Linked DNA regions of Mytilus edulis. The protein of the gene in region 1 binds, or shares a complex with, the protein of each later gene. Links are inferred from orthologs where the notes say so. Each region holds a gene or a part of one and is shown on either strand. Other genes may lie near its edges.

Region 1 (11,513 bases):
ACTTCCAAAAAAACTGAATCAGATTTTAAATTACAGTATTAATGAGTTATTTCCCTTGTTTGGAAGTATACTGCTAAATACTGGATTTGTTATAACATGAGCAACACGACGGTTTCCACATGTGGAGCAGGATCTGCTTACCCTTCCTTAGCACATGAGATCACCCTGACTTTTTGGTGGGGTTTGTGTTGCTTATTCTTTAGTTTTTATGTTGTTTACTATTGTTTGTTTGTTTGTATTTTTCCTTTTTATCCATGGCGTTGTCAGCTTATTTTTGATTTCTGAGTTTGACCGTCCCTTTGGTATCTTTCGCCCCTCTCTTCTAAATATACTCCTATCAAATTTATACAAAAATTAGGTATTCAGTGGTTATCAAGGTAAGTTCAATTACACATTGGTTTCAATTAAGTGCACACAGTGATCCTTATGTATAGATAGGTTTTGATTGTCAAAATTTGGGCAAGAGTTGCTTCCCTTTGTCCCTATGTTTGACTTCTAATTTAAGCCTTCATAAATCAGCCAAATTCAAATTGTTATATCGTGCAAGACTTTTGAAAAAGCATTTTTTCTGAACAATTTTTATTTCTTTAAGACCTAGTTAATAATAAAATAACTACAATGTACAAACAAGTAAGGATATCTTGTCAGACTGTTGAAAGATTAAATCCTCTGCATTTGTTTGCACCTATCCTAAGTCAGGAACCTTTTGTACAGTGTGGTGAGTGGTTGCCGTTATGTAGAACTTTGGTCTTCTTGTTTGAATTCTTTTACACTATAAAATTGAGAATGGAAATGGGGAGTGTGCCAAAGAGACAACAACCCGACCATAGAAAAAAAAAAACAGCAGAAGGTCACCAACAGGTCTTCAATGTAGCGAAAAATTCCCGCACCCGGAGGTTTTCAGGCCTTTTATAGCTTGCTGTTAGGTGTGAGCCAAGGCTCCATGTTGATGGGCGTACTTTGATCTACATGTATAAATGAATACTTTTTACACATTGGGACTTGGACGGAGAGTTGTTTCATTGGCACTCATACCACATCTTCATATTTCTATTAAATGTAAGTATTACATGTTTTAATTTAATAATTCAAATAGGAAAACAAACTGTTCATTTCTCCAAAATGGTTGCCAAGGGAAATAACTATGGGATATCAATGTCAATTTAAATCTTACTTTTCTTCCATCAGTCTTTTAAACTTTTTCCTTGCAAGTTCCATGAGACAATCAACCTCCGCTTTAGATCTCTTAAAGTTCTCTATACTAAAGGCATAAACAGTAACTTCTGTGATTCCAATGTCCAAACACCATTCTAAAACCTGTAAAATTTCAAAACAGGTTGTCAGTTTGTGTCCTTATTTGGCCAAAAAAATATGTACAGTGTAACCTGTCCAATCAGACACCTGATTATTCCAACATACTGCCTCTTGTAACAGTGTAAACTGTCAGAGTGTACAATAAAATCTTGCTTAAACGGACACATTTTCATGGTCTCAAAATATGCCTATCCTTGCAGAAAAAACCTGAATATTCCGATACCCTGCTTAATCTGGACATCTTTTTCTGGTCTTCCAGTGTGTCAGATAATAAAGGTTGCACTGCAATTTGGTCTAACAAAATCATAGGAAAAATCAAATGTACAATGTATCTAATAAATTGTTGCTTCCAAATCTTTTGAATATTGTCATCTATCATGTCTATAAATATTCATCTCAATTAGTATTGATTTTAACATTTTTAAGGTCGAAAGATGGGATGAGATTAACAATAAACAAAATACTACTTTGCTTTAATACATTATTTTGAGAATGCGAAATATCAAACCACTTAAAATTCATAAGATAGATGTTGTTCACACACTTATAGTTAATTATTTTGTTTGTTTCTCAAATGTGCCTGGTACCTGTCAATCACTTTAAAATTGACCAATACATGTACATGTGTCTGTCTAAACATTTAAAAGTTGTCTTTCTTCTAGGATCTTTATAACAATTATTGTCATTTTTTACAGTACATATTTCTAAAAACCTTGTCCTTTCAAAATACCAATTGGAAAAAAAAAATTCCAATCTACATTCATCAAACATGTCAAATTGATAGATCTTCAATGTAATAGTGAATAGTTTTAGTCTATTGCTAGTGAAAGTTTGTTTGTATAAAGCAAGTAAGGTGTAATACAAATTTGACTTATCATCCACTTCGATTGATTGTCTTCAAATTTATTTTGTGAAATTACGTGACATTGGAACAATTTTGAAGACCTACATGTACTTATTATCATGATCAGGAACACAGCTTGCTAACAAAAACTTTGACTTGAATACAAAATTGATTGGTTTGTTGGTTTTATTTTCAGACTAGCAAAAAAGATAACTCTCCATTTATTCCTGATTTCAATTGTGAGTTTATAAAAACCCTTCGGAAGTTCAAATATAAAATACAATGAATATAATACCTCTGTAAGTTTGTCAAAACCTTTCAGATGACCCTCAGCTCGTTCCATACTATTTTTCACAGCGAATCTTCTATTGCCATCCATTATAACGGCTACATGTTTAGGAATTTGTCCAAACCCAAGGATCCTTAAACACATTCTGTGGTACCATGCCTTAGGCTGCTCAGGGAACCACGTTGACATATTGAAGCTGTTGAAATGAAATATTCATATTTTCAGAATCATTGAAAGAACAACTTTCAATCAATTAATGAAACATGACTATTTAAAAGCTACAGGAACATAATTATAAACATGGAAAAAATCAATAGAAGATTTCATTGAATCATCACAAGTAGTTTTCCTTGAAACTGATCTCATAACATGTATAAAACTATGCACAAGTTTTCAAGTCAATAGACCTTGACTGAGAGGACATGTACAGGCCAACTAATCTCCATGGGAAAAAAAGTAGGGGAAGAGATAAATAATTTATGACTAAGTATTGTGGTTGTCAAGTTCAAAAGATCCAATTCCTATTTGATGTCCAGTTTGTTGGCCCCCAAAACAGAATAATAGCTCCCCTCTGACTTTTCTGTTATGTTCAGGCCTAGCAGGATTCAATAATAGTCATACATGTTGTACATGTAGCATTATTACATGTATGTTTACTCGACACCAGTTTCTGGGTTGACAAAAAAAAAGTTAATTTACTAAGTAATACAGTTGCACTTTATATATCTGCCCAAATGATAGAGCAAATGTATCTATCTTATAATTTATATAACTATGCATTAAAACTAAAAATTAAAATAAAAACTATATTGATAAATTACATTAACATGATTAATGACATGAACAAACCCTATTGATTTTTAAAATTTTGCAAACAATACTTCAGGAAGGTTGTCTGCAAACATGTCAGAACCCAGCCAATTCTGTGTGAGCCAGTCCCCATTCAGGAGCCTGTAAGTCCCTGTTGTTTGTTGCTGTATATCATATTTCAATAATTGTTTTGTACAGAAGTTGGGCACACATCTTTTTGTCTGAATTGTTTGAAATTTTTTATTTCTTTAATTGCTTGCTATAAGGTAGGAGTTTTGCTCATTGTAGAAGGCCATATACATGTAGTGACCTATAGGCCTCAGAACACAATTATTCTTCCCCTTGGCTACAATGCATTTTTTAGTTAAAGTCAAATCGAATTAAAAAAATTGCACCGCCACAAACATGAAATAAATTTAAATGCTTATAGACCATTATTATTCTAATAAAATATGCTTGTCCCAGTACAATCCATCAGTGCTTTTTCTTTTGAGGGCCCTATTAGCATGCCAATGGTAGGATTTGAATCTTGAACAAATGACGAAGGCTGATTTCTACCCTACTTTCATTTTGGCCAAATCACTACTTTCACTTTCAACAATCATTTTTTTCCACATGTTTTACTTATTTAAATATATATGCAACTGATAGGACCACTCAAATAGTAAACATTTCAAAGAAAACAGTAGACAGATTACTTGGGAAGAAATACCCCATATAATAATTGGGAACTATATTCCTAGACCACGAACAAAGGGAATTAATTGTGATCTGAGGCCTATAATTGTTAACTTAGTTATAATTGTATAATTGTTACACCTAGTCCAAACCAGAAAAATTAAAATAGCCTTGCAAGACGTCAGAATTATTTGGACTAGCAGCCATAGAAAGGCGTCCCAGAAAAAAAATTAAAATAGGCTTGCAAGATGCTCGGGGGGGCCACTTCAAACTTTTTTTGGTAGGGGTGAGCAGCTGAGACATCAAGTACCCCACCCTTTTCATATATTTTGTTTATCAAAAATATATACCTTGTCATATATTAATGAACAAAAAACAGACCTATAGATATATTTGGATATTTTTTATCTTCTTGTACATTAGTATTTACAAAAAGTTTTGCGGTCCCGCTCATTTTACGTTCTTGTTTAGAAGCAACGCAGTCGCAATAATCACACCTTGTTTTTCCAATAAATTCTTCGCTCCTCTATTTGCCAGTGCTATTTGCCCCTTTTATATCTTTGATTATGATGAAATTTCAATTTCAAAAGACAATAACATATGTTTTGTCAGATAAATGTAGTAATACTTCAGATAGTATCACTTTTACTGAGTTTAACATTAATTAAAAACTGATTTGCCGTTCCCTCTTGAAGGACGCTGACACTATGCTATGGAATTTCTTTAAATGTTTCATGTATACAAACCTTTCAATGTTAATTAGGTGGAAATGTCAAAATGATTGGATTTATTGCATCTATAACTAACCTCAGTGGAAATACCACATTGAATAAATAGAGTTTAATTGGTTTGACAAATAGCTGATGCATTTACGACTGTGGTTTAACCGCATCAAAAATAAATACGAACATTTGATTAATTTCAGATACTTATGATATAATCCAGCAAGTGATAATATCAACCTATTGATATATTTAATCTGAATTTCTCACCCTTTTCATATATCATGAAGCATGAAATAGTGACCTATTCCAGCGGCTCATCCCTACCAGTCATTATATAGGAAGTGGCCCCCCCGAGGCAAGATGTCATAATCATTTGGATTAGCATACACCATTTTCTTATTTAAATATTTTTATATCTACACAAATTATATACAAGTATTGTTCCATAATACTGATATACGAGTATTATGGCCACTAAGTTCAATTGATCCTGAACTTCTATAGCCATTATATTATCTTGTTCTTAATTTATTTCACTGTTGAAGCTTGGAGTTCAGAACATCATGCACCTAGCTTTATAATCTTGTTTATAGCTATAATTTCAATTTTATCTTATAGTTCTTTACTAGAATACACAAAAGGGAATAAACTATAAAATGGTTAAATGATTGCACCATGAAAGGTACAAAACATGTATAACTTTGTCTACTTAATTTGAAAATATTTAACAACAAATGCTAAAATTTGTGTATGCACATCACAGTGGTCATGAAATCATGTGTAAATATGGTGTATATATGTCAGATGTACAAATTTATTTATAAAACAATAAATGTACAAAATACTTTACCACCAATATACGGTACAATTAACCACAGATTAAATGATGAAACACCAGCTGAGAACAAGTGAGGGAATCACGAAGCGAGGGCTATCCCCATATGTGTGACGTAGCACCGGGTTGTGAGTTGGCTAAATTTCAAACATTCACAATATAGTCCGGTATATTTATATTTTACGAGGTGAATTGTCGGCCTCTTTTGATAATGTAAAATAATTAGGATAAATTATACTTAAAATGAATACAGCAATGCTCATATTTACAAAACAAAATAGATTTAAAAATTTTAGAATATTATTCTTCCGCGTTTCGATCCATGGCAGTAAACAGAAAATGGCGTCGATATCGCTCATTGAATAACCCACACAGTTCATTGTTTAATTAAGTTTTAATGATGAAGCCGGGGCCAAGTAGAGAAAACAGAGAAATATCATCAATAGAAGCTGGTAAATTAATGCTTTTATTTTGAATTCATGTGTAGTTTATACGAATAAAACTTAATCCAATGTACTAGCAGTCTTTCTGTTTTCTTTTCAGAGTTATATTTCCTCATCGCCAGATTCTTGTCTTCTGGACCCTGTTCCGATGCCGCTCAGGTAAGTCTTTGGCATTATTATGTCTGTAAGGGCTCATTTGACTGACCTCACACTCAATTTACCCTTTTCTTTTCCAGGCACTTCGAAAAGAACTAGAAAAACACAAGGTAAGTGTGCGAAAATTTGACATGTTTTCAATCCAAATTACGCGCTTTTACGGTAGAAAACGGATAAAAAACGGCAATATAATGTTGAAATTTAATTAGATTTGTTACGGATTGTACTTGCTGTCATTGTAAACGGACAGTTCCACGGAACATTTGGAATAATGATTTTTTGGAATTTTGTAGCTTTTGCCAAAAAGAATTGACTGGGAAGGCAGGGAACACGAAAGAAGTTTTGAAAATTTGGTGAGTTTTCGAAAAACAAGAAATTGACATTTTTTACTTTTTCCATTTTTAGGAAGATTTTTTCGTCATTTTGTTTCTTGTGTTTTATCTGTTGAGTGTTATTTTAAGATGCACTTAATTTTCATCTTTTTAAGTCAATTTTATTAAAAAATCAATTGTTTTCATGATTTGCTTTGAAATTGTAATAATTTCTTTGAGGCCATTATCATATCTGATGCACAAGGTCATGTGTGATGTCATTGACCCCAAAGTTCAGATTTATAACCAATGAGAGAACAGCAAGCTATATTTAGAAAGTATCTTCTGATTTCTCTAGACTTATCATTGATGTGATTGATTAAGTGTATAAAAGTTTATATTCTTGTTTTCCTTTTTGAAATAAATAATTTTGTCAAATATTCAGTACAGATTTTAAATATGCTAACAGATCTCATTAAAATATTGAAGTCTTAAACATGAAAAATATTTATAAAAAATCTTGACAAAAATAAAAACTTCTCAATATAATTTTTAAAATTGTGTTATTTACAACACTGATTGTTAAAGAAATAGTTTTGAAGTACATTAATTTTGAATTTCAAGGTCACAGTCATCTTTAATTGTGCAACTTTTTAAAAGTTATAAGAAAAAGATTTTTTTTTTTATAATAGACAATATTTTATTGGCACAAATTCTGCCAATAAAATATTGTCTATTGACAAACACATTTACAATAAATGGTAATGACCGAATGGATAAACAATTTGCAATACATGGTAGTAAAATACAAACAATTATATTTATATGTGAATAAAAGATTGAACAATAATGAATTACATATTTATGAGGTAGAGTAATATTTAATATCTTTTAGTAAGACCAAGGATTTGTATAGTAAGATCTTACTATACAAATCCTTGGTTAGACATCAGATTTATTTTTTATTATTATCAGGGACTTTTATCTAAACTATTATGATAGTCAACACTTGTATTTGAAAGTGAAAATAAAAAAATATCTTCTTTTATTGAATTTTTCATAACCATGATGACTACAATGCTCTATTTTAGTATTTATTTTTATTGTATGTCTTTTGAAGTCGGTGGAGGATTTAGAGCCCTCCCCATTTTGTAAAAAAAAATTGGTTGATTGTTTTAGGAATCACTGAAGCATGACAGAAGCAGGTCTAAGGCAGTTAGTGTCCCCACTACCATCCCTTATAAAAAATTCTTGATCTGCCACTGGAAGTTTTCTTTTCTATTCATAAAAGTATAATTTCATGGACAATTCAAATCACATTTGTCTTATTTTCAAAATACCGACCACCCATCAAACACCTATAGCTATCAATCAATGAAATACTGAAAATGTTTGTCTAAATAAGCTTCTGTGGTTATCATAAAATTAGAAATTAATAAATAATGGAAATTTAATTTAATTATAATTTTTGCAGGTTGAACTATACCGTCATGTGACATCTAACCATTTATTACACATATGTCAGAGACTTGGACCTTTATTAGATAAAGATATCAAACCAAGTGTATGTGGTGTCCAGTCTTTACTTGGTTCTGGTAGCAATTCTTTATTGAGGACAAAAGACGGTAAGTTGTATATGTTTAACATGTTTTCCCATCTTTTTGGTGTAAATGGTTATGTACCTTGATCACTATTTTAAATTTCTCGATGTCATAGTTGTCAACACTTCAGATGTTGCTAAAACCCTCATTCTTTACATTTTTAATATATAAATCACTGTTTTTAACCAGTATTGATTGTTGTTTGCTTAACGTCCAGTGGCAAATATTTCATGCATGTTCAGACGAGCCAGTCTTCTAAGAGGTACATCAAAAATAAATCTTTCTTTACAGAGAAATATTGCAATATCTATTAACTTTTTTAGGATTTGTAAAGATAAAGTTGTTAAGCTTGTAAAAATTGACAAATTATTAAAAACTTTGATTGTGAATACAACATAAAATGGCCAAGTTACTGGATATATTATTTTAGCTTATATGAACATTATTGATTTAATTTTAAAAAAAAAATAGAAACAGAAGTTTGCTGAAAAACATAAAAACTGTTATACAGGGGCCGTGTCAATGAAAGTATCCTAGGACATGTCCTAAGATAGGTCTTAGGACATTATTTAGGATGGTCTTAGGACGTGTCTGAGACATGTCTTAGGATGTAAAACAAAGCTGTCTTAGGACAGTCCTAACTACGATGGTCCTAGGACCATCCTAACACATTTATTTTAAAAATAAAATGTATGTAGATATTTGTATGACATAGATTGAATTGTATTTTAGAACCTATATGTAAAGAGAGGGAGGATGACTCTTATATATATAGAAAACAATTAACGCAAAATAAAAGTAAAGTTTTTACGGAATACTAATAAGTACGTTATTAAATATGATAAAAGATATAAATGAATTTAATACGAAAACAAAAGTAAATGGTCACAAAACTTTGTGATATTCGTGCTGCAATTTTAGTACATAAACTAGTTTTGTCCTTAGGTCCACTCGATTTCATTATGTATCGAATCAGGATTAGGTAAAAAAGAAGTAAACTTTTCCCCATATTTGAATTATTTAAAATATGTTGCTTATGATGATAGTATTGTTTAGGCTTCAAAAAAGGCAGCACAAAATAATTTAATATATAACAATTAAATCTTTAACAAACATTAAACAATATTTTTTTTATTAATTTTATCTAATGATAGTTTAATATTGTATTAGTATTTTTAGTATTGAGTTTATGCCATACTTGTTGTTTTTATTACGTTTTATGACGATGTAACCTTTCGGACTATCCTAAGACACCTAATTGTATATCCTAACTTTAGGACCAAATTTAGGACATATCTTATTTTAGGAGACTTTCGTTAACCCGACTTAGGACTAAGACGTGTCCTAAGACCATCCTAAGACATGTCTTAGTCCTAGGACAGCTTCGTTGACACGGCCCCAGAATGTTTGTACATGTACAGTCTGATTGTCAGACTTCAAAAAATATATATTAAATTGTATATTAAAAAACTGGAAACACCACCTTGAAATGCACATGAAATAAATATAAATCATAAATATTATATACATGTACTAAAATTGTATAAATACGAAATTTTTTATTTAAGAAAGCTCAATTATGAACATAATCATTAATAGCATAGATACAACAAAGAATAACATTTAAACAATCTTAACTAAAATTAATACTACACAAGTATCAAAGTATATGTGTTCAAAGGGGAATAACTCGAGTGTAAAAATATAAGTAATTATTTTACATTATAGGCAGCAAACAAAAATTCACACTTTTATTCTAAGTAAAAAACACATATTTAGGTACTTAGCTATACTTTTGCATACATCAGTGTCTTCATTACTAAATCACCATAAAAACGGAGAATTGATATTTGTAGAATTAATAAAGTTTTTATTTAAACAGTTGTAGAGTAACTCCTTCCTTAAATGAGAAATTTTTTGACATTTTAATAAAAAAAATGTAACTCATCTTCAACCAAATTTATATTACAGTTCTTACAAATCCTGTTATCTATAGGAGTTTTTGGTATAGTTTATCTACCAATTTCAATATGAAGTTTATGACTGCTGGTTCTGAACCTTGTCATACTTACTCTATCATTATCATTACTTAAAGGGGCACTAGCTACGAGATATATAAAAAATCTAAAGTATGATTTTTGTTTGTTCAATCATTAATGAAAATGAAATAGTGAAATAATAATTCACTTTTAGCAGCTAAAATGGTTCAATTTTGTCAAATTAAGCTAATAAAAATTGACGACTTATTCACTTGCAAGTGAATAACTCGACCTTGTTAAACCTGTATTCATGTGAACTCCAATTTAACCCCGTAGAAAGAGATAGAATAACGCATGCATTGTCCGTGTACAGTTATTTAAAGGAAAATTATGTCAACATTGAAAGTGAAACAAAAGTAAATAATTTGATTGACTGATTCGCTCCACAAAAAACATTCTTATTTAGGAAAAAACGATGATAAACATAAATTTTTAATCTATAATACAAAATTTAGTAGACCTATAAAAATCTAACTGCACGAGTTTCTTAATCTATTTGTATCTATGTTTATGTTTACATTGCTTATATGGTCACAGAAGGTCAACTCGAAATTTAATTAGATGGTGTCATTGCTAAAATTCACACGAAACGAAGCTAAATCTTTTTGAGACCATGGCCTGTAAATTGCTTAATTTATACTTTTGATAGTTTGGAAAAATGTTTTACATTGTTATAAATAAAATATGAAAATTTGAGTCAAATTGGTGAACATGAATTTGACAGCTAGTGCCCCTTTAAACGGATAAATATTTTTCAAATTTAAAAATATTCTTAAATAATCTATATGTTCTCAATTTATCACTAGTTTGTAGTTGCTGAGACCGCTGTTTTTCAAATTTACACTTAAGGCACTTTCTTAATCATGTTAATACTAACAAAAAATATTTTTTTAATCAAATTATATTACATGTTTGGCCGATGTTTACTCCACAACTCAGAAAAAGAATCAAGAAAAGTGAAATGGACTGTTTAAAAAAAAAATGTCATGTGTTACTATCGCATTGTTGTATACAGGTATATCCAGCATTACTTTTCACAACCCTTCAAACACCTTTCAGTTTGAATTTCAGACACATATATATAGAACTTTGAATAAGCTGTGAACTTATAAACTTTAATAAATATTTGATGTCTAACATTTGTTTAGATTAAAATATACATATAATTTTTGTAACAATGTAACAGATGTTCATAAACATACATCATTTTTATTTGTCAATGATGTCTTTATTTTAAGTACTTCAATTGTAACATGTAAACAGATGGGAGATAAGTCTTATTGTAATTGATTTATACTTTTAGTTTATTAAGTTATTATATTAAAGAGGCACTAGCTACAATATCTACAAAAAATCATGATTTTTTTTATTGTTCAATCATTAAAGAAATTGTATAAGCAAATATGTTTTAACTGAAGTAAATCCCTTTAGATTATTGACTTGTACATGTAAAAAAACCCAGATATCA
Region 2 (12,103 bases), about 18 Mb from region 1:
CCATACATTTTTTTCTGGAATAGCCCTAATATTTTTAGTCACTCATTACAATATTCAGAGTAAGGTTATTCCTGTTTTTAATTGATCCTGGAAAAAATGATTGTTGGCGTATTTGTGCAGGATGGATTTATGTACTAGCTATAGCCTGTATACATGTTCTGGGTCTATCTGAGCGTTTTTATTAGTCTACCTGGGTTTTTTTTGTTGCTCGGAGATGAGATGTGATTTTATAAAACATGACAAGGCATGCATCTGTTTTTCTGTGTGCGAGGTCTCTCCATTTTAAATGATTTATATCATGTCACAAACATGTACACTTTCTATGTTGGTTTGTGAAAAACCTAGCAGCCCTTCTTTGCACCTTTTTAAGTTTGTTTATATCCTCGGTAAAGTAAGGGTTACAGACTTAACAGGCGTATTCTAGTGACATAGTCAATAAGAAACATCAACATGAACAATGATGAAGATTTAGAATTTAGCTACATTTTGTTCTTTTACTGTTTTAGGGATCCAAAGCTGTTTATTTGATTGAATTAATCGTAAGACCGATGTTATTAAAAGCATATAATTAACCTGATCATCCCCTGAACCGTCTGTGTTTGCTGGGAGTGATATTTTGGGTCTTTTTTGTAACACTGGCATTGTTGACATGCTTTCTTCGCTGTCCGACATTTTTAAATTTTTCTTTGTCAAGTCACATGACTATCACTTGACCCAACAGCAATCGAGCGGGAAATTTTTTTATTTTTAAAAATATATATATATAATATATAAATATATACATTTTAGTTGATATCATGGTCCGTATATTAAACACTTAAAAATTCAAAAGTTTTCCGATTGAAGTTTCTTGGGTTTTTTATCAAAATTTTTGAACTTTATCAAAATTCTTGCGGTTTTTTTTTATTTCTGAAAAATTAATAAAAATTTCACCAAATAAGGATAATAAGAGGAGTCTGATGGGTGTCTCATCACGATTCGCGAGCTGATTTCTTTGTCAATCACGATTCACAGAAAATAAATTTCCATGATCACGGATCACGAAAATATATAAAAAAAAATTGTAGAAAAACGGCGAATCACGTTAGCCGCCGGAAAATGGGCCGATCACGAAGAACGAAAATAACCCATCAGGCCCCTCAAATAAGATCAAATAAGATCAAATAATTCCAGTTAAAAATTATAATCTTCCTTTTAAAAGTCTTGATAAAAAAATTCAAAAAGAGAAAAGAGAAATGATCAAAACTATACAGTTTAGTATATTTATTAAACTGGTTTGTTTAAAAATCTAAACTATTAGGGAAAATTAAGGGGGAGTGTATGCGGTTTTTTTCTTTAAAAATATTCTTAACTCCTATTTAATGAGAAAAAAAATATCCTATTTAAGTAGATGACAAAAAAACATTCTGTTTCCAGATTTCACCCATACCTAATAGTGTTCAATATTTAAAAAAATATTCTGACTCAGATAAAACGATATTCCCCTTTTCTTAAACTAAATTGTTGCTCCCAAACAAATATTTCACAGGACGAATTACGGATATTGAATCAGCGGGAACCCAGGCTAAATAAATGTATGTTATCTTATTCAAGGAGTTTATATATTTCCCGTTGTCATAAGTAGATATAGGAAGATGTGGTGTGAGTGCCATAAACTTTCATGTGACTGTCGGCGTTTCGACTTTGAACTACCTTTTTTATCCACGATACTTAGGAAGCTACCATTCCATTTTTAGGGACGGGGGGGGGGGGGGGGGATAAGATGAAATTTGAAAAAAGACAGGACAACGGTTTTGCCGGATTAAAAAAACACGCAGGATGACAATTTATGCACAAAAAGTCAGGATCAACTATAATAAAAAGGGCAGAACAGAGTTTCAGTTCAACTAAATAAAATGCATTCAACATTAAACATCAGCAAGTTTTTTGTTCCAATATTTCAACTTTTATTTCCAACTTTCAAAATTCGATTTCAACGTTCAACATTCGTCTTCAACAATCCGGCAATTTTCTTCAACATTTAGCATTCGTTTTCAACATTCAACATTTAACCTTCGATTCCGAATTCAACATTCGTTTTTAAACTTTCGATATTCGTGTTTCAACATTATGAATATTCGTTTTCAACATTCAAAATTCATTTTCAATATTCAACATTCGTTTTCAATATTCAACATTCGTTTCCAACATTTGTTTTCACATATTCGATTGTCAACATTCATTTTCACCAATTTACTTTCAAAATTCAACATTCGTTTTCAATATTCGTTTTCACATATTCGATTTTCGACATTCATTTTCAACATTAAACATTCGTTTTCAACATTCAAAATTCATTTTTAATATTCAAGATTCTTTTTCAATATTCAACATTCGTTTTCAACAAATTCGTTTCCTTCGTTTTCAACATTTGTTTTCAACATTCGTTTTTAACATTCGTTTCCAACATTTTTTTTTCACATATTAGATTTTCAACATTCATTTTCAGCATTCAACATTCGTTTTAATTCAACATTCGTTTTAATTCAATATTTGTTTTCTACATTCGTTTTCTTCTTTTTCAACCGTGATTCGTTTTCAACATTGGTTTTCAACATTCGTTTTCAACATTGGTTTTTAACATTCGTTTTCAACATTTTTTTTCACATATTCGATTTTCAACATTCTATTTTCAGCATTCAACATTCGTTTTAACTTCAACATTCGTTCTAATTTAACATGATTCGTTTTAATTCAACATTCGTTTTTAAACTTTCGATATTCGTTTTTCAACATTCAAAATTCATTTTCAATATTCAACATTCGTTTCCTTTGTTTTCAATATTCGTTTTCAACATTCGTTTTCAACATTTGTTTTCAACATTCGTTTTCTTCGTTTTCAACATTCGTTTTTAACATTTTTTTTCACATATTCGATTTTTAACATTGATTTTCAGCATTTAGCATTCGTTTTAATTTAAAATTCGATTTTAAACTTTCGATATTTGTTTTTCAACATTCAACATTCGTTTTCAACATTGAAAATTCGATTTCATTCAACATTCAAAATTCGTTTTCAGCATTAAACGTTCGTTTTCAACAGTCATTTTCCATATACAAAATTCGAATTTCAACAATCATAAAAAAATTGTTTACAATTTTTGTTTTTCTCTTTTTCTTTTTTGAAATAATTTTGTTCTTCAATATTCATTTTTCAAATTTAACATTTAAACTTTCGAAATTTGTTTTTCAACATTCAACATTAAAAATTCATTTTCAATATTCAACATTCGTTTTCAATATTCAACATTCGTTCTCAGCATTCAACATTCGTTTTTAAACATTCGATATTCTTTTTTTTTTTTAACATTCAACATTTTTTTTTCATCATTCAAAATTGACCTTCAATATTCAACATTCGTTTTCACATATTCGATTTTCGCCGGACATTCATTTTCAACATTCAACATTCGTTTTCAACTTTCAACTTTCATTTCCGATCAACATTCGGTTACAGCATTCAATATTCAAAATTCGATTTCAACACCACTTTGGTCTCATACAATTCACATGTCATCCATCTCAAGGTAAGGGGTTAAATTAAAGTTCAAGATTCAAGATTTCAAGATTTTATTGTAAAGCAACGCTCAGACACATATATGTGTAACATGAGGTACATATATACAATGATAAACATGATTTATAACACAAAGGTAACATTCAAAAAACGAAATAAACAATAAAAAACAATAAAAAAATAAAGACAAAAAATAAAAAAATAAGACAAAAAAGAAATAACTCATACAAATTAATATACATATCACAATAAGTTATTCAGCTTTCTGATAAAAGATGCCACCTGTCTATATAAATTAACATTGCAGTAAGATACCATTACAGATAATTTCTGCTTACTGGTATAATAACTAGGGATAATATATGTTGTTCTCTAAAACAAACCAGTTGAGGAGACTTGCATATAAAAAGATAGTGAAATTCGTCTCCTGCACTCTCTTTACATATGTGACATTTTCGGTCATCCACCGGAATATTGTACCAACGCCCAGTTTCAATCGGAATTTTTATATTAGACGTTCTTAATTTTGTCATCCAGATTCTTGCATTTTCCGGTATTTTTATAATGTTAATTTTCAAAACCAAAACAGTTTTTATAACTAGAATAAAATACACCTCGGGAAGATAATTGGACATCTTGATGCCATTTTTGTATATATTGGTCTTGTCAAACCTGTTTTATCAGATGCTTGTAGTCAGCACTATCTTGATTGACAAACACATATCCTAGTCCTGTATCATTAAATATTGATTCTATAAAGTTCAGCCATTTGAATGATTGACCGCTAGTTTGCATTAAACTTAATAATAATCTATATATATATTACTACTTAATTTGTCACCATGCATTATTCTTCTCCAAAATGATGTCATTCTTATTTTAACTTTTATTTCTAATGGAAATCTGCCTAATTCTCCATATACCATATAGTTTGGCGTTGAAGATCTTACTCTTAGAATACGTTTACAAAAATTTAAGTGAATTTGTTCTAAAATTTTCAGGTTTTCGTATCCCTAAATCTCACAGCCATATAAAAGAATAGGCATCAAACATTTTAAGCTGTAAATCTAGTGGGATGGCTTGATTTCTAATACTTTTGTACAAGCTGTATAATGCTTTTTATGCTTGATTAACTAATTTTTTCTTCGCCTCCGTAAAAGTACCATTACATTTAAATATAAGGCCAAGATATGAGTAGGTATCGACTAATTCTATATTTTTGCCTTGTAATTTAAATTCGAATTTCCGTCGCACTTTGCCTTTACTAAATACCATGCTATTTGTTTTTGTAACATTAACTTCCAGTTTCCATAATTCACAGTAGTTCTGGAAAATATTTAGTGCATTTTGCATACTTTCTGCAGAATCCGCCATACTGATGACGGTATCATCAGCGTACAGTATGGCAAACAGTTTCATAATTGAATTTAACTCATTTTGACATTTTTCTTTAACTATCTCAAGGGGACATCCACCTAAATCAATAAAGAATTTTTCTATGTCATTTAGAAAAATTGAAAAGAGAAAGGGAGATAGATTTCCCCCCTGCTTACACCAGTTAGACAGGGGAAATATTCTGACTGTTGGTTGTTGTATTTAACACATGATTTAATATTATTAAACATATTAAAAATAACAGTAAATATTTTTCCTTTTATACCACTGTTCTGTAGTTTTTTCCACAGACCACTTCTCCATACAGTGTCGAAGGCCTTTCGGAAATCAACAAATGTACAAAATAGTTTTTTACCAAAAGACTGATACAGTGATATTAAGGCATGCAATACGAATAAATTATCGGTTGTAGAGTGATCTTTTCGAAATCCAGCTTGGTTGTTTGAAATTAAGGAAATTTCATTTGCAAAAAAGGTTAACCTAGAACTGATTAATTATTGATGTGAGGACTTTTCCTAGACAGCTTATTACTGTTATTGCTCTGAAGTTATCAGGATCCATGGTATCTCCTTTGTTTTTAAAAACTGGTATTATTATACCAATAGTCCAGTGCTCTGGTATTATTCCTGTTTCTAAAACAATGTTAAATATTTTACAGTAAATATGTACCAGTGCTGGAGTTGAATATTTTATATACTCATTTAAAATATTATCTAATCCTGGTGATTTGTTATTCTTTAAATTTTTTATTGCATCAGTTATTTCAGAGGCATGCATATGGATTCAATGAGGTCAAATTATTCACTTTCAAGTGAATAATTCATAATCAATGTGGTTTTTTTTTAGCTTATTTTGACAAAATTGAACCATGCTGGCTGCTAAAAACCAAATATTATTTCCGCTATTTGCATTTCATTAATGATTGAGCAATGTTTTATATATCTCCTAGTGCCCCTTTAACATTGCGATGAATCACCTGTCAGTTTTCAGAATAGAAATAAAAAAGTACACAAGGGACTCTCTATACTAGTATATTAGTATAGAAAGTCCCTGTCAGTTTAATAATTCAAGATGGTCAATTTTATAAATCAGATCAACTCTAGGGCATATGAGATTGTGGTCATAGTATTTCAATCCCATTTTTTTTTAAATTTTTATAATTTATGTTCAATTTTAAACGCGGACGTCAAGGAAAGCACAGTGAGTTGAAAATGTTATTTTTGTGCTCCATACTTTTTATACTTTTCCGTTTTCTTGACAGATTCAATGCACAAGCAAAGGGGTTTTAAGGGATACTGATATTTTGTATTTAATTTCAGTAGAAAGTTGATCTGCATCAGGTTTTATTATCTTATGTGTTTTTATAGTGTTTTCCACGAAAGAGGAAGTGCCCTCAGCATTCTAACCGTATTACTTCCGGTACACGAGAACACAAGACCGGTGCCTGATCCGATAAATTATGATATCCACTCTTTCAGAAGCTAAAACTAATAATACTACGTAAACTATGTTTGAACAACTTGTGTTACGACTAATTCATTGTATTTTATCATTTGGAGTGTTTGTAAAACAATGTACAAGTTATTTTATACATTTCGGCTTGGTATTTAAACAAAAATCGTCAGTCGACTTCATCAAAGCTGATGCAAGGCAGATAAACAAGTTGCCGGTACATATAGGAATAGTTGTTTTAGAAGAAAAACTTTCATACACAGATATAGCTAATATTATAATATGGTCACTAGCTTTAGGGATATCTTGTATCAGTGTTTATGATGTGAATGGTAAGTTCAAATGGTTAAACTTCAAGCAAATATAATTTTCTGACACATGAGCAAATTCTAGATAATATAAGAACACTACAATACACCTTATCGCTATTTGTCGGCCATTGCTTGATATCATGCAGGTTCCCATAAAATGTTGACGTCATAAAACAAAACATCTGACGCCACAATGGAAAAGTTGTTGTTGTATGCGTCAAAAGTTCAAGCGGCCGGGTCAACTGGGATTAGCGATAAGGTGTGTCTTCTTCATCTCTTCTTTTGTTAATCAGCAACGGAAAAATGCCATCAAGCTGATGCTGTATCATCAAGTGCAGGTGCTGTACAGGTTGTGATCAACAAAACCAAGAAAATAAATAAAATTTATATATATCATGTATAGACAAGTTTAAAATTGTGATCAATGCAGGACAAAAACAAGGATGGTCTTTACAGCAATTCACTGTGTCTCTGGCTCAGGATGAAAGTGTGACCAGAGGTTGTTCGTTAAAAGTGTCAGAGTCGGTGTCAATTGTGTTTTTTCCGGGTAGATGGTTCCAGTCTCTGATTTCGTATTCGGAGGTGTTGCATTGTGACTGCATGATGCTGACTGTGTGGCTATGTCGTGTTTTCCTGTTGTTGACGAGGTAATATTTGGGATTTCAGTGGTTACTTGATGGTACACTATTTTCTAAAATAATATTAAGCGATTTGCTGTTCTTCTCGTTTCAAGAGTAGGCCAATTCAAAGATTGTATATGATTGCAGTCATGGAGCCAGGTTAGTAGTTGTAGTTCTTGGTTACAAAAATCTTGCTGCCCTGTGTTGTACCATTTCTGTACATTTGATGTCCAGTGCAATGGGGGTCCCATACTTACCAGAGCAATGTAAGCGTGTTGTTTAATTTCTTGAGGGCATTTATATAAATTTCTTCTTTAAAATACAAAATTCAGCTCCACTCCTAGGTATGGGTTATGTTCTTTTAGTTCCAGCTGTGTAGAATGTAAGAAGTATGGTCTATATGATGAAGACATAATCTTTCAATCAGTTTTAGTTTAATTGAAGTCTGGAGCTGGCATGTCAGTTAACTGCTAGTAAATATATAGTCTGGTGTTATTTATGTATTTTTGTTTTTTTGTTGGTTTCTTGTGTATAGTTCAGAGTTTAGTATGGCGTTCATTATCACTGAACTAGTATATATATTTGTTTAGGGGCTCAGAGACGGATTTAGAGGTGGGGCCTTGTAAATAACAGTGATGTTATTAGTCAAATTATACCTTACTCATGACTTCCTCTTCATCCATAACAGTTTAAATATTGAAGTTTTGCATGATTTAAAAAACAAATAAAAATATTGATGAATTGTTAGTCACGTTTGGCTGTCACTTAAAACTTGAGTACATGTATCTCACATAGTTTCATTCAACACAATTTGTATGTATACTCTCATTTACAATATGGAACTTCTTGTTTGAACAGGCTTCTCGCTAAGGATTTTTGAAGGAGAGTCCAAGGACTCGTCATTTTAAGCCATGATGAGTCCAACAGCAAGAAGAAAATATCTTATTGCAATAAGGCCAATTAAAATTAATTGATAGATTTTCATCCCCGCCCGCCCCTCTGAAATCGTCCTGCCTCGATTTTTTTATTTTGCAAAATTTACGATTTCCAGATTTTGTTCATTTCCGTTACCGGTAACTGTCAATAATTTCGTTTCATTCGAACTTCCTGTTTATAAAATTTCGGTTTTTCATATTTCTTGTTTCGAGTGACTTTAAAACGATTATGTTGACAAACAGTGGTCTCGCTAGCCCAAAATAGAAGGGCGCCGCACCCTGGGTGCCCTCAGCCGCGCCCTGGGTGCCCTCAGCCGCGCCCTGGGTGCCTTCATCCGCGCCCTTCTGCCCTGACGTCTTTTTCCAAAATTATCTTGTGCCGTTTTGGTAAAATTTTGTTTCATCGATTTCTGATCTCCAAGTTAATTACATATATGACACCTGTGTGATTGCCCCCAGGTTAATCATGTCATTACAATCAATTACAATGATAAAGACTTCAAAAGTGTTAATAACTAGGTAATTTAATTAGGACAATGTATCTTTTTGTCATACTTTTGATGAATGTGTCAACGAGTGTGTTTAGCTTGGGTCGGCATTTTCGATCTCCAAGTCACAATGGAAGAGCGTATATAAATGAAGACTTTCATGACTTTAGAATTGAATTTAAGTCATCAAAATAAAACTATGCTTTTACAGAATTGCCTTCCATCTCAACTTGTTAGCGACAAGCACAGTTTTTAATTAACTCAAACGTGGTGGAAATTGATTTTGGAGTTACTTCCCCTGTTTTAGCTTATTACAAATTTGTGCTCTTAAAATATTATCTAGTATCAAAAAAAAGAATAAGTTACCAATTGAATATATAATAACATAATAATGTTACCTTAAAGATATTAACTGTCTTTGAACATATTAAAAAATATATATTGCAATTTCTACTTGATAATTATACTTTTAGCAATCCATGTTCTAAACATTGTTAAATTAGTAATGCTCTCAGTTTTAGGTCAAATGATGTATTAAAAGCTGTAATTCCTATATAGATTAAAAAAAAAAAAAAAACACATATTCGATAATGGGTAGAGTGAAGTTAAACTCTAAAAACATAATATGTTAATGAAGATGTACTATACCATTCATAACTACACAAACAATGAAATAAAGACTATAGTTGAAAAGCATCTTTATTTAAAAAAAACAACATATACAGTCCAAAAAAAAAAGAGATTCGTTAACTCGTGATACACACAGAAACGTAGACAAAAAAATGAGCAGTGCCTTTTCTTATCAAAAAAAGTGCCCTGCCCTCCACTGGCACCCTGCCCCTTTTAATTTCTAGCTAGAGCACTGACAAAATCTGCTGCTCAATGATGACAGTATCATCTACAGAGAATATAGAAAGATTACCAGAAGGGCATGAAATATTCGGATTACGAGTATTAAATACGCTGTGTCCAACGCAAATCGCGGTATATCACAAATTGGAACTTATGATTTCTTTCATCAGAAAATTGTGGATTTATTTAATAATACATTGACTTTGTGTAAGCAAATTTGGGCTGTGAATGATTTCCAAAGTGCAAGAATCGTGGAACAAATTGGTAGAAAAAAAAGAGTTCAAAAAGTCGGCAAACATACACATTGTGTACTAGAAACCCCTTAGATTAACTTATGGCTATTGTTTTTGTTTTAAAAACACAAAATACCATTTACAATGTAATTATATATGCGTCACTTCTTGCATAACTTGAGAGTCTTAAAAGTGCCAACTTTACTATTCCTTGCAGCACTTGTTTGAGTGTTCATTTCATTCATAATACTTGTGCTGCATTCCATTGCATTTGCATAAGTTTATGGGGACTACAAACCATCGCTTAGAGAGCAAAATAAATTTGGAGTTGGTAGTCAAATGAATAGAGAATTTCTCCATGGTTTTACTGTTTGCTGAAAATATGTTTCTAAAGTAGCAATTGCATGTAGAACAGTCCGCGTTGCAAATCAGAGATGTTTATTCAAGAATTATGTACGATTCTTTATACATGTTTAAACATTTACATGGTATAAGCTAAATTTTGTAATGATAACACTTGCATATATATATATATATATGAAGTTCACGCCACAAGAAGATTTCAAATTGATTAAAATTTAAAAAATAAAATCCTCCCACCCGCCCCATTTTTTTCAAAACTTTGGATGAAAATCTACTAATTAATTTTAGTTGGCCTAATATGTAGTATTTTACAAATGTTTTGGTCTCTATTTCCTAACAGAGCAATGAAATGACATTAAACTCAGATCACTTTTAAACTTTTTCTATAAAATGATGATATTTGTGTTAAACTGTGTTCAGTTTAAACAAAATATTTCAATCTTGATGCATCTGTGGACTCACCAGTTTTGAAAATGGTAAGTTCAGACAGATTTTGATGAGTCCACGACTCATGGACTCGCCTTAGTGAGAACCCTGTTTGAAGGAATATATACTAATCTATGGCTACCAGGTCATTTTTTCAGTCTTATGAAACTATGTTGATATTCCTGGAATCAATAAAAAACACACCAATTGAATCAAAACCGACAGTACATATGTAACAACCTAATATATAGCTCTAGCACTTCTCAAGGTTGTACATGTAATTTGCCACTATAAAAAAAACACACCTGTATATATATATTATATACAATGTAATATATACAATGTAATATATACATGTAAATAAAAAATCAAATGTAACTCAAAATGATAAAGAAAATGATAATTTCAAGTAAGTCAGGGTTAAAGTAAACTGAATTTCTTGGTACATCAGATACTAAATTTATAAGCAGAGTTATCTCCCTTTGTCCTTTAGATTTTTGTTAAGTACATGTTTGTGTAACTAAAGAGCTAATCATACTTTAGTCTACATACAAGATTATTTGTCGAAAACATTTATACTACAACCTTGAACATATTTTATTATAATATGTTTATATCATTGTGTACCATGTATATATCATGTACATGTAGAAGCTGAGCACTAATTTACATGTACATTTGTATGTCTTTCCAGGTGATTTTAAAAGAAATCATGCTGTTTTAAAAGGGGTTGTAGCAAAGAAACAGAAAGAAATCTTACATGATGAGAGCACAAAATACAGTATATGTTTGCATACCAATAACCAGACAGATTTATATTTAGAAAATGGTATGCATCAAATGTCAGATTTTCTAAATATTGATAGGACTAAAATCATAAAACAGTTTCTGACTACATTTCTAGTAATAAAATCTTAGGATCAAAAACCAAACTTCGTCATTTGCCATATTTAATGTTCCAAGGGTGTTCTACAGATAGTGAGATCACTGATCCTTCAAGATAATTTGGAAGACAAATTCCCTCAGCTGTATTTAGCAACATTTTTAGGAATTTTGGATCTCAGTGCTCTTCAACTTCATACTTTATTTGGCTTTTTTTTGATTCAAGCGTCACTGATGAGTCTTTTGTAGATGAACTGCGTGTCTGGCGTATATATAAAATTTAGTCCTGGTATCTATGATGAGTTTTTTTACAACCACTGGGTCAATGTCACTGCTGGTGGAGATTTATTTCCCCGAGTGTATCACAAGCCCAGTAGTCAGCACTTTGTGCTGACATGAATTATTATTGATATTGTTATATTTATAAATTAACTGTTTTCAAAATTTTGAATTATTTGAAATACTAAGGCTTTTCTACCTCAGGCATAGGTTGCCTTGGCTGTATTTGGCAACACTTTTAGGAATTTTGGATCTCAATGCTCTTTAACTTCTTACTTTATTTGGTGTTTTTTTTTAACTTTTTTGGATTC

What was found.
Region 2: the proteins of dehydrodolichyl diphosphate synthase complex subunit DHDDS-like (region 1) and dehydrodolichyl diphosphate synthase complex subunit Nus1-like are in contact, whole or in part, in a crystal structure (PDB 7PAX), measured with the Homo sapiens proteins. The link is inferred for Mytilus edulis from reciprocal best matches to the Homo sapiens genes DHDDS and NUS1. Residues at the interface, in NP_995583.1 of Homo sapiens: Arg37, Arg38, Glu81, Asn82, Lys84, Arg85, Arg159, His160, Ile162, Ser163, Val166, Arg167, Met169, Ala170, Trp171, Val173, Glu174, Pro180, Ser181, Ile183, Ser184, Glu185, Leu188, His199, Glu209, Val210, Arg211, Leu212, Ser213, Asp214; in NP_612468.1 of Homo sapiens: His137, Gln138, Pro193, Glu194, Lys197, Ala198, Ile200, Val201, Ala204, Gln205, Phe207, Cys208, Gln209, Val211, Ala212, Arg217, Pro218, Thr219, Leu221, Asp222, Val223, Leu226, Asp237, Pro246, Val247, Asp248, Ser249, Thr250, Leu251, Gly252.

Annotation. Positions count from the first base shown.
Region 1 is NC_092353.1:36,823,714-36,835,226, forward strand, and holds the start of dehydrodolichyl diphosphate synthase complex subunit DHDDS-like, read right to left. Parts: upstream 5,630-11,513; 5' UTR 5,511-5,629; intron 2,644-5,510; 5' UTR 2,637-2,643; coding exon 2,454-2,636; intron 1,318-2,453; coding exon 1,175-1,317; intron 1-1,174. Other genes in the region: PH-interacting protein-like, read left to right, coding at 5,893-5,947, 6,039-6,097, 6,175-6,204, 6,388-6,447, 7,880-8,030. UniProt on the Homo sapiens protein: With NUS1, forms the dehydrodolichyl diphosphate synthase (DDS) complex, an essential component of the dolichol monophosphate (Dol-P) biosynthetic machinery.
Region 2 is NC_092353.1:18,905,309-18,917,411, forward strand, and holds the start of dehydrodolichyl diphosphate synthase complex subunit Nus1-like, read left to right. Parts: upstream 1-6,347; 5' UTR 6,348-6,458; coding exon 6,459-6,735; intron 6,736-11,325; coding exon 11,326-11,460; intron 11,461-12,103. Other genes in the region: polycomb protein EED-like, read right to left, coding at 574-672. UniProt on the Homo sapiens protein: With DHDDS, forms the dehydrodolichyl diphosphate synthase (DDS) complex, an essential component of the dolichol monophosphate (Dol-P) biosynthetic machinery.